Linked DNA regions of Macaca fascicularis. The protein of the gene in region 2 interacts with the protein of the main gene of each other region in a pairwise test. Links are inferred from orthologs where the notes say so. Each region holds a gene or a part of one and is shown on either strand. Other genes may lie near its edges.

The links. The genes of interacting proteins can lie anywhere in the genome.
Region 1: the proteins of ATXN1 (region 2) and YY1AP1 interact in binary tests that used the Homo sapiens proteins (3 or more experiments, as listed by UniProt). The link is inferred for Macaca fascicularis from reciprocal best matches to the Homo sapiens genes ATXN1 and YY1AP1.
Region 3: the proteins of ATXN1 (region 2) and EIF3F interact in binary tests that used the Homo sapiens proteins (3 or more experiments, as listed by UniProt). The link is inferred for Macaca fascicularis from reciprocal best matches to the Homo sapiens genes ATXN1 and EIF3F.

Annotation. Positions count from the first base shown.
Region 1 is NC_088375.1:105,442,852-105,446,351, forward strand, and holds part of YY1AP1 (YY1-associated protein 1), read left to right. Parts: intron 1-836; coding exon 837-987; intron 988-3,500. UniProt on the Homo sapiens protein: Associates with the INO80 chromatin remodeling complex, which is responsible for transcriptional regulation, DNA repair, and replication. Enhances transcription activation by YY1. Plays a role in cell cycle regulation.
Region 2 is NC_088378.1:156,154,676-156,158,762, reverse strand, and holds the start of ATXN1 (ataxin 1), read right to left. Parts: upstream 2,801-4,087; 5' UTR 2,619-2,800; intron 2,533-2,618; coding exon of another isoform or gene 1,429-2,532; intron 761-1,428; coding exon of another isoform or gene 698-760; intron 1-697. Other genes in the region: uncharacterized protein, read left to right, coding at 698-760, 1,429-2,532, 3,660-3,755. UniProt on the Homo sapiens protein: Chromatin-binding factor that repress Notch signaling in the absence of Notch intracellular domain by acting as a CBF1 corepressor. Binds to the HEY promoter and might assist, along with NCOR2, RBPJ-mediated repression. Binds RNA in vitro.
Region 3 is NC_088388.1:57,828,837-57,832,142, forward strand, and holds the end of EIF3F (eukaryotic translation initiation factor 3 subunit F), read right to left. Parts: intron 2,235-3,306; coding exon 2,143-2,234; intron 1,688-2,142; coding exon 1,551-1,687; intron 1,416-1,550; coding exon 1,302-1,415; intron 728-1,301; coding exon 650-727; 3' UTR 501-649; downstream 1-500. UniProt on the Homo sapiens protein: Component of the eukaryotic translation initiation factor 3 (eIF-3) complex, which is required for several steps in the initiation of protein synthesis.

The DNA.
Region 1 (3,500 bases), on a different chromosome or scaffold from region 2:
ATTTGTCTGACAGGGTACTTATTATTCATTTTATATTTGTTTTATTAGGATCATTTTCCTTCCCATGTATTCTCTTTGAACTTCCTTTGTATTGTTAATATACAGCTCATCACGATCTGACATTTATTAATGATTTATGACGTTTCTTTTGCTCCTACTTAATTGTGAACTATTTGATTCTTATTCATAGTACTTAATCACTACTCACTAAATACCTGGAATTTTCTACTGAGTAGTCACCAACTTACACAAGAATTAGTTGTCAAAAAAGTAGATTGGCCAGCCATGGCGGCTCACACCTGTAATGCCGGCACTTTGGGAGGCCGAGGCAGGAGGATCGCTTGAGGCCAGGAGTTCAAGATCAGCCTGGGCAACAAAGTGAGAACTGGTCTCTACAAATAATGAAAGAAAACATTAGCTAGGCATGGTAGCAAACATTTATGGCCACAGATACTCAGGAGGCTGAAGTGCGAGAATCAATTGAACCCAGGCATTCAAGGCTGCAATGCACTGTAATCACGCCACTGCTCTCCAGCCTGGACAACAGAGCAAGATCCTGTCTGAAAAAATGAAAAAATAGATTGGGCCACACGCCATGGGCTCATGCTTGTAATCCCAGCACTTTGGGAGGCTGAGACTGGAGAATCGTTTCAGCTTAGGAAGTAGTGGCTGCAGTGGGCTGCAATTGTGCCACTGCACTCCAGCCCAGTTAACAGAGTGAGACCTTGTCTTAAGAAAAAATGAGAAAAAGTAGATTGTAAAATGTGTTAGTCTGGGGAGGCCCTTTAGAAGGAAGGACTGTGAAGTGAGATTTAGTGTCATTGCTCCTTTCTCAGTTTGTTAGCTTTAGGACTGAAGCATTTTGAAGGGACTGAGTTTCTTAACCCTCTAATCAGCAAGTACCTTCTAACCTGCAAGACTGCCCGCCAACTGACAGTGAGAATCAAGAACCTCAACATGAACAGAGCTCCTGACAACATTATTAAAGTGAGTGTTTCCTGAATGCGCCATCCATGCACCTCACTAATACATATCCGTTCTTTCCTCTTGTAATTCTGAAAGGAAAAAAGAACCTTATTTTATCTTAAGCTAATTTCTCCTACTTATACACTAGATGAATTCCCCTGTTGCCTTTTCAGGGACATTGACTCATTCATTACGTTCCTCTGGAGTATCTTCATCCTGTTAAAAGATTTCATAAATCCATGTTTCCCTGTAATAATTCTCTTTCTTGAACTTTTTTTTTTTTTTTTTTTTTGAGATGGAGTCTCGCTCTGTCGCCCAGGCTGGAGTGCAGTGGCGCAATCTCAGCTTACTGCAAGCTCCGCCTCCTGGGTTCACGCCATTCTCCTGCCTCAGCCTCCCGAGTAGCTGGGACTACAGGCGCCCGCCACCACGTCCGGCTAATTTTTTTGTATTCTTAGTAGAGACGGGGTTTCACCGTGTTAGCCAAGATGGTCTCAATCTCCTGACCTCGTGATCCGCCCGCCTCAGCCTCCCAAAGTGCTGGGATTACAGGCGTGAGCCACTGCACCCGGCCTCTTTCTTGAACTTTCTAGAAATGATATGCAGTATTCCACTTACATGTTTTGGGGTTTTGTTTTGTTTTGTTTTTTGGTCAAATGTAATCTTGTACTGTCACCCAGGCTGGAGTGCAGGAGTATAGTGGCATGATCCTGGCTCACTGCAGCTTCCACCTCCCAGGTTCAAGTGATTCTCGTGCCTCAGCATCCCAAGTAGCTGAGATTACAGGCGTGCCCACAACGCTTAGCTAACTTTTTGTATTTTTGTGTGTTGGCCAGGCTGGTCTTGAACTTCTGATCTCAAGTAGTCCACCGTCTTGGCATCCCAGAGGCTAGGATTAAAGACATAAGCCACTGTGCCCAGCCTATATACTTTTTCTCAACTCTGTGTTTGTTTGTATGTATGCATGTATTTATTTATTTATTGAGATGGAGTTTCGCTCTTGTCGCCCAGGCCCAGCCTATATACTTTTTCTCGACTCTTTTTACTTATCGATTGATTGATTGAGATGGAGTTTCGTTCTTGACCCCCTGGCTGGAGTGATGGCACGACCTCGGCTGACTGCAACCTCTGCCTCCTGGGTTCAAGCGATTCTGCTGCCTCAGCCTCCCTTGTAGTTGGGACTACAGGCCCCCACCACCATGCCCATCTGATTTTTGTATTTAGTAGAGTCGGGGTTTCACCGTGTTGGCCAAGCTGGTCTCGAACTCCTGACCTCAGGTGATCCATCTGCCTTGGCCTCCCTAAGTGTTGGGATTACAGATGTGAGCCATCACCCCCGGCCTTCTTTTTTATTTTGATATTTATTTATGGTTTGTTTTTTGTTTGTTTAGAGACTGGTTTTCACTTTGTCATCCTGGCTGGAGTGCATGGGCACAATCATAGGTCACTTCAACCTCAAACTTCTGGGTGATCCTTCCACTTCAGCCTTCCGAGTAGCTTGTACTACAGGTGCATGCCACCAAGGCTAGCTAATTATTTTATTTTGTGTGAAGACAGGGTGTCATTTTGTTGCCCAGGTTGGTCTTGAAGTCCTGACCTCAAGCAGTTCTCTTGCCTCAGCTCGGCCTCCCAGAGTGTTGGGATTACAGGTGTGAGCCGTGATGCCCAGCCTTTGGTTTCGTTTTGTTTTTGTATTTTTCTTGAGACGAAGTCTTACTCTCCTGCCTAGGCTGGATTATAGTGGTATAGTCATAACTTACTGCAGCCTGCTCAAGCATTCTTCCAACATCAGCCTCCCAAGGAGCTGGGATTATATGCATGAGCCACCGTGCTTGGCCATTTTTTTTTTTTTTTTGACAGAATCTCGCTCTGTCACCCAGGCTGGAGTGCAGTGGCACAATTTTAGCTCACTGCAACCTCCGCCTACCAGGTTGAAACAGTTTTCATGCCTTCGCCTCCTGAGTAGCTGGGACTACAGGCATGCACCAACACACCTGGCTAATTTTTATATTTTTAGTAGAAACATAATTTTACCATATTGGTCAGTCTGATCTTGAACTCCTGACCTCAGGTGATCTACCCACCTCAGCCTCCCAAAGGGCTGGAATTATAGGCATGAGTCACTGTGCCTGGCAAAAAAAAATTGTTTTTTTCTTTTTTTTTTTAGAGATGGGGTGTCCCTGTATTGCCCAGGCTGGTCTTCAATTTTTGGCCTTAGGCAATTCTCTTGTCTCAGCCTCTAATTGGTATTTCCTGGTGTATTGGATTTAGGCCTTATTTATTAACCATAAACCATGGAAGCCAAAGATTTACCTCTCTCCTCACTCCCTTTCTCCCACCACAAACATGCACATTTTATGGTCTCCAAACTCCTCACTAGTAGTTATGGAACAATTTTGGTTAGATTGTATTCAGGATTTACATTGTAAGATTTTAAGGACTGTCGGCCAGGCGTGGTGGCTTATGCCTGTAATCCCAGCACTTTGGGAGGCCGAGGCGGGTGGATCACGAGGTCAGGAGATCGACACCATCTT
Region 2 (4,087 bases):
ACATGAGCGATCAGGGCTGGAGTAAGTGCACCGAAAACCTACACCACTGACAGGCAGCCAGGAGGTTCAGGGGAGCCCTTCAACCTCTGCTTTATGTAGAAGATGGCATTCAAGTCCATTTATTTGCGGAGCTGCTAAAATATTGACTGATGCATGCACAGTGAGAGGGCAATCAGAGGAGATTAAATGGCACAGCGCTAGCCGTTATGGTGCAATCCCTTTCCAAGAGTTCCTGTGCAGGATTTTCTCTTCTCTCTGGTGGTTTCCTCAGGCATAAGCTTCATTCCAAAAAAAGCTCGAGTATCAAACTACCTTTACCCACCAAATAAACCGAAGGGTGGGCTTAACGGGGGCTTCTAGGAACTGCAGCCTCCTAAAAAACCCAAACAGAAATGTCTTAGCTAACACTGTTGAAAAAGTAACTAGCTATGCCTAAAAATAACCAAGTAACTACCCACTGCTGTGTGCAATATATAACGATGATGTTTAAATATTAAAAACAGCCTGCATTATAAAACACAAATGTCATTGAGATGTGACTACTAGATTGCCAAAGGAGAACTTATTTGCATACACACATTCCCGTGCATGCACGACAGGATGTGCAGGGAGAAAGCCACTGTAAGGCATTAGTTTTTATTCTGTGGGTGTAATAGGGTCTTCTAATTTTGCTAATTGTATCCTGTGGATCTCACAGGGAAGCTATGAATCTCTTCGGGGACAGAACCAGTTTGGAGGAGTCCCTACTGCACAGCATACGGTAAACAAAATAAAAATAGCTTGCCTTTCTTGTTAGCCACATCGCGCATTATATAACCAGCTTCTTCCGACTGGCTTTTTTTTTTTTTTTTTTTCCTGCCCTTACTACTCTTCAGCAATTTCTCAATCTTCTCAAATATTTGTATTACCCTTTTATCTGTAGGATTATATACCAAGAAAGCAAAACAAAACAGAGCAGCCACGGGCTCGAACCTAACCCCCGACGTCCTTAGAAACTGATTTTTTTTGTTTTGTTTTGTTTTCTGGCAGAGTCTCGATCACCACCCTACTTCCACCCCCCACTAAGGTTCTTGCTCAATCTCCCTAGAAAACCTGAATTGTTTCATCCCTTCCAGTCAGCCCCCTACGTGGTCTGAAATAAAATGAAAGCACAAGCCACGGAGTTTAAGAAGGCAGCCTGAAGGCGGGGGGCTGAAGAGGGGTCGGGGCGCTGCAGAGTCAGCCAAGTAGCCAAGGAAGGGCCACCTCCGCGTCGCGACTGCCCTCGCACCCCGCCCGGCGCGCGCGCACACACACACACAAATACACACACACTCACTCACACACACACTCACTCACACACTCACGCCGCGCTTCGACACCGCCTCACCTCTCGCTCCGCCCGTCCGGCCCCCTTCCCTGCCCCCTGCGGGACCGGCCTGCGCGCAGCTCTGGAACCACGTAGGAGGCGGCGGCGGCGGCCCCGGGAGTGGCAGAGTCTCCGGCCCGGCCCAGAGTGAACGAGCAGTGGGGCTCCAGGGCGCATCCCAATCCCCGCAGCGCCTCCTCCGCCGCCGCCGCCTCCTCCTCCTTCCCCTCCTCCTGGCTTCATTCACCCTCCCAGCAGCCGCGCAGCCGTTCACTCCCGGCTCAGGGCAGCGCCTGCCGCGGCTCCTCGGCTCCTGCCGCGGGTGCTGGCGGGGTCGCCGGCCCGGACTGGGGCGCTCGCGGGCTCCCGGCTCCGGGCGGCGGCTGCCGCTGCACATGATCAGGAAGCGGCCGCACCAACAGGGCGGCGGTGGCGGCGGCGGCCAGGGCCGCCACCGCCACTCCAGCCGCTCTCCAGGCACCCGCACACCCGCTACCCCTGCGCGGTCCCCGAGGCCACCCCCTCCGCGCCCCCCGCCTGGCACCCGGCCGCGCGCAAAGTCCCGGCCAGGCTGCAGGAGCAGTCCCTTCCCCGCCCGCAGCCGCACACCCGGCGACGCCGGACCTCCGAGAGGAGACCCCTACCCCGGGGCGCCGAGGCCAGGCGACCACCCGCGTGGAAGTCCAGCCCTCCCCGAGACCCCCTGTCTCTCACCGCCCTCTCCGGGGAGGAGGAATGGGAAGAGGGCGGCCGGGAAAGGGACCACCCCGCCACCCCGGCCGCCGCCACCTCCCCCCTGCGCCACCCGGAGGGAGGAGGACATAGCTCTCCGCACTCGCGACCGGACCAGCAGCCGGGGGGAACGGGGCCCCGCCGCCGCTCTCCCCGCCCGCGCCCCCCGCCCGGGCGCGCCCCCTAGCCTGGCGGGCGCCCACCCAACCCCTGACAGCCCCCTCGCCGGCCGCCCCTGCGCCCACAGTGGGGGTGTCGGCCCGGGAGCCTGGAGCCGGGGACGGTTGTATGTACACACACACACACACACACACACACACACACACACACACGCACACACAGAACACGACGCGTCGATTTCCTTCGCTCCTCTTCCAGCTGTTTTCCGTGCAGCCGATTGGGGTTTTGGGTTTGTTTGCTGGTTGTTGCTTTTGCCCCTCTCGGGAGATCGGGTGAGGAGGGATTTTAATCTAAATAAGGGGAGAAGGGGATGGGGGAGGGGGGAAGAATCAGAGGAGGAAAAAAAATAGCCACTTACTGTAAAGTGTAAATGGATCTGGGGTTGCGTGGGGAAGGGGGGGCAGAGGGAGAGAAACAATGTCTTGCGGCTGCTGTTGCTCTGGCTGCTGCTCCACGGGGCTTGTTTTGGATCCCCCTGCAGTGAAACAGGTCCTGTACGGCTCCGCCACTGTAGTAGAAATGATGTCTGCGGTATACTCTGCTCTCTCCTCCTCCTCCTCCTCCTCCTCCCCCTCCTCCCGCTCCCCTCCCCTCCCTCCTCCCTCCGCCCGCCCGCCCTCCCTCCCTCGCGCTCTCTCGCGCTCGCTCGCTCGCTCGCTCCAGTATGTAAATGTGTAATAGAAGCCAAATATGGAGCAGTTGGCTGCCGCCGCCGCAGCTCAAGGATCCGACTTCATGGGGGTGGGGGGCACCCTCTGGCGGGCGGCCCGGCAAGCCGCACAGAGCACGGCGAGCGCACCGCGCGGCGGCCGGCCCGCGCCCTTAACCCTTCGCTGCGCGCCGCCTGGGGAGGCGGACACCTTTCCCAAAGAGTGGCTCGGGATGGGGTGCGGGGCAGGGGAGACGCGGACCGGAGGGCAAGGTTCCTTCCAGGTTTGGGATGGGGGCGGGGAGCTGGGCGATGAGGTAATTTGAGCGGTGACGGGTCGGTCCTCGCGCGCCTCCCTGGGTCCCTGCACCTAGTTGGAGGGGACTGAGCGACAACGGGGCGCTACTCAGGCAACCTGGGGGACTCCCTCAAGGGGTGTCAGGCTTCAGCTGGGAGCCGATGAAACACCCCAGGGGGGAGGGGAGGTCAGTCAATTCTAATCCCTACGTGCCCTTGGTCCCCGGCGCTCGGAACAGCGTCTAAAAGGGCTCACTCTGATCATCAGCTGCACGTTAACCCGCAAACCGGCGTCGCTTCGGCGTTCCGGAACCCAGGCCCGGGGGCCGCGGGGATTGCCTCTGCATGCAACTCCGGAAAGTTTCAAGGGGCCCCTTGACTGCACAGGCACCCTCACCTTTCCTGCCTGCGAACGCTGGCGACCGCCGGACCCTCCCCTCCCTCTCTCCGCAGGTCCGGAAATCGGCTTTGATATGGAACTACTCCGCTCTAGCCTGGAAAGGAGACCCGCGCACTCCTCTCGCAGCTAATTTGGGATCATTAATTTAATCGGAAATGAGGTAACCAGTGTAGGAGACAGAGAAAGCAACCGGAGCATCAAATGGCAGTTCTCTACAATCGACGAGGAACTTAAATCTGGACTCAGGGTTTCATTGCGGTTCCCGACTCCCACCACCCGGCCCCTCCGCCTGTCCCGCCGCCAGGTGTGACCTCCACGCGAAGGAATCTTCTGCGGATGGGTGCACCTTGCCAACAGGTGTGGCACCTGGAGGATTAAGAGGCGCCTCCAGACTAAAGGCGCTCAATGTGGTGTTCTTGTTGCAGATGATTCTGGAAGGCCAGTAGGTGTCGGGAGACATTTGACCTTCTTCAGGTGCTTA
Region 3 (3,306 bases), on a different chromosome or scaffold from region 2:
AAATGCCATCTAGTCTTTGCTCAAATTGAGCCACTGGCAGACCTCAATATAACTGAAGGCTGTACCCTCAAGTTACAGATAGCACCTAAGAATTTTCTGAAGTTTTGGGGAAACCTCTTTAATCTTTAACCCACAGATCTTAATTGTCCCTCCCCAAACTAAAGTGGCAGACAGCTCCATCTTACTATTAATGTATTTTAAGATAGTGACTACACACTCTACTCTTTTAGTTTAGATTAAGCATCCAATTTTCTCAGCTATTTTTTCTCCATGGATTCTTATTTTCATTTCCTACAGAAATCACACGAATCCTCAAGAAAAGGTACAGTTTTGCCAATGGACACCTTTCCATATTGAAAACCAAAAGAACAGTTTGGTAAAACAGTAACCTGCCAAACACATAACCAACTTTTTTACCTACAATATTCACTTCCTGGTTTCTGTGTGATCTAAAACATTTTCCTCCCTTCCACCCGGCAATAAACTCACATAAGATGAAATTAATTTACAAAAGGTAGGCTATGTTTATTAGAGTCACACACAGTTGACTGTCTCAGTGTGACTCAAGACCACAAAAAACCCATTTCTCCTTCACTTCTGAGTCCTGGGTTTAAGACCTATACCAGCAGGCGTACTGCTTGGGGTCCATTCACAGGTTTACAAGTTTTTCATTGAGGGCAATCTGTGACTGTGTGAGGTTGGCCAGGTAGGTCACCATCAGCAGGTCCTGGAAGACAAAGAATACACAATGAGTGGGGGGTTGGGTGGAAAGGGAGCAAAAAGGCTGGCACTGGCTGGCTCTATGGTGGGCACTAGGTATGAGGACAGTTGTGGATAAATGACAGCTGGGAGAGACCGAATAAAAGTCAAAAAGGTAGACGACAGAAAAGAAATGCTTGAGAAGACTTTCTTATCTCTACTGAGACACTTACAGTCTAGGGGTGCCTTAGCTGAAACCCATGGATGGAATATAGGGGGTCCGTGAACTCAGATGGGGAAAACAAGTAATTGCATTTTCCTTAACCTCTGAATTTTAGTGTTTCTTTCTATCACAAATTTAGACAGTAAGTCACAGTAGCATCAGCAGTAAATGAGACAATGTAATCACGGGAGAAGGAAGAAGTCTCCAAACATGCATACCACACCTCTTCCTTCCTCCCAACCTGGACTTCCATGGGGCTATAGGTGAAGCCCTGTCTCTATCCTACTCCAGGCCACCTCACCCAACTCTTCACATTTGAGTGTATGTGCTGAGGTAGGGGAAGAAACCAGGCAAGCAGGGGCTCAGGAAGGGCACTCACATTGATGTTGCTGTTGAGCATGGTCTCGAAGTCATCGGGAACTATTTTGGGTACTTGGTTAACCAGGCTCATCAGGAAGCGGCCCACAGTATTGTCAGCTGACACCTTTCCAGACTGAGCACCAAAACAAAGACTCAATGAGGCAGTTAATTATAACCACTGCGCCCTACCATTTCATCAGCACCTGCCTCAGTAATCCCAGGATGGAGAACTATGTCCTCCCCCTTTGTTTTTTCTTTCCCCTCTCACCAGTACATCCTCTGCATATTGCAACACTGTGCTCAGGGCATCCTGGATGCGAGCTGATGCCCCTCCTACTTGCTGCAAGTCACTTGAGAGTCCAATCACTCTGTTGGGGCTAAAGCAGGTCTTCATGATCAGGTCAACTGTGGAAGTTGGGTGGCAGTGGCAGTGGTGGGCAGTAAGAGAGAGAATTCAGTCATCCCACCAGGAAAGAGATGGCCTTAAAGTCCTGCTAACTCTGTTTCCCACCTCCCCTTAGACAGTCTGCTCAATCACACTCCCTGCTGTGCCCTTATCAGCTTTTCTTCCTCCTAACAGAGCTCAACTCCTTTTACCTGGTATGCTCATCACCGGTTTTGATCTCATATGAATGGTCATGTGGCCTCTGGTGCTGATAATTTCCCACCTTTAACAGTTTCTCAAATAACTCCTTAAATCCCATTTATACAAGAGATGACTGTAACTTCTAGTCTTCACAAACCTTAGATCAATAGTCCCTTTTTAAACCACCCAAGGCCTCCATCCTTGTTGCAGAACAGCAGCCCCCTTCCCTGAAAACGCCTATGACCTCTCAAGAGAGTATGGAAAGGTTACTCACCTCCGATGCGTTCAGTGTCATAGTATGCGTATTTCACTGTCAGAGGTGTGAACATCACTCCCATGGTCCTCCCAGGGACACCCATTAAAGTACTGAGGAAGGAGAAGCCAAGGTAAACAGATGGCCTTGGGAGAGGGTTTCCATGTCTATTCTGGGCTGAGAATGCAGATACAGCAGGAATATGGCTCCCAAGGTTCTAAGACAGGAAGGGTGGGACCAAATGAACCCGAGGTCTCATGGGAGCAAAAGTTACTTTCTCCCCTTAGCTTGTCCCACATACCAAACCTTTGATCTGTAAGAGGGGACGCAACCTTTGCACCTGGCCTGGTCCCTTTAGAGGATTACTTCACACACGGTGCAGTGTCAGTGATGAGAGGACAGGACTCAATTACCCATGGAGTTGGCTGTCTATATAGCTGCCCACCATGGAAAAGAGACAGAGACAAGTCTTTTCTGGGACCAACCCCTTCATCAGCATTGAAAAAGGAAACCAACTCCTGCTCACCAAATCAGATTGGGTGCTATAAGTAATCTCACTAAAGGTATTGTTTTTACTATGTCAATTATATACCTGGATCTATACTTTACTATGTCAACTCTCTATCTATCGTATCTATCTATCTATCTATCTATCTATCTATCTATCTATCTATCTATCTATCTATCTATCTATCCATCCATCCATCCATCCATCCATCCATCCATCCATCCATCCATCCATCCACCCACCCACCCATCCATCCAGCTGGATCATATATATATATATATATATATACTGGATCTTGAGGAGTCTGAAATACTTGGGAAGGCTAAGAAGTCAGGCAATGGCTAGTGCTTAGTGGTATGCCAACTGGCTCATAAAGACTTGGCATCCACCATCTTTGTCTTACTGTGTAAGAGTTAACTGGCTTTGTCAGTGTCAGACACAGAACCAGCACGAAATCAACAGCCTAACAGATGCACTAACAGCTGCCTTCCCTCTGACTTTCCAACTCCCACAGCTGCTTCCAACTCCCACAGCTGCTTCCTCAGCACACCACCAGGGCCTTTCCCAACATCCCCCTTAACTGGCATTTTAACCACCTGCAAGCTCAATGTGTTCACTGTAATGTCACTGTCATTAAAACTGCACTCAATCCTGGGTTAATTAATGTGTTCAAAATA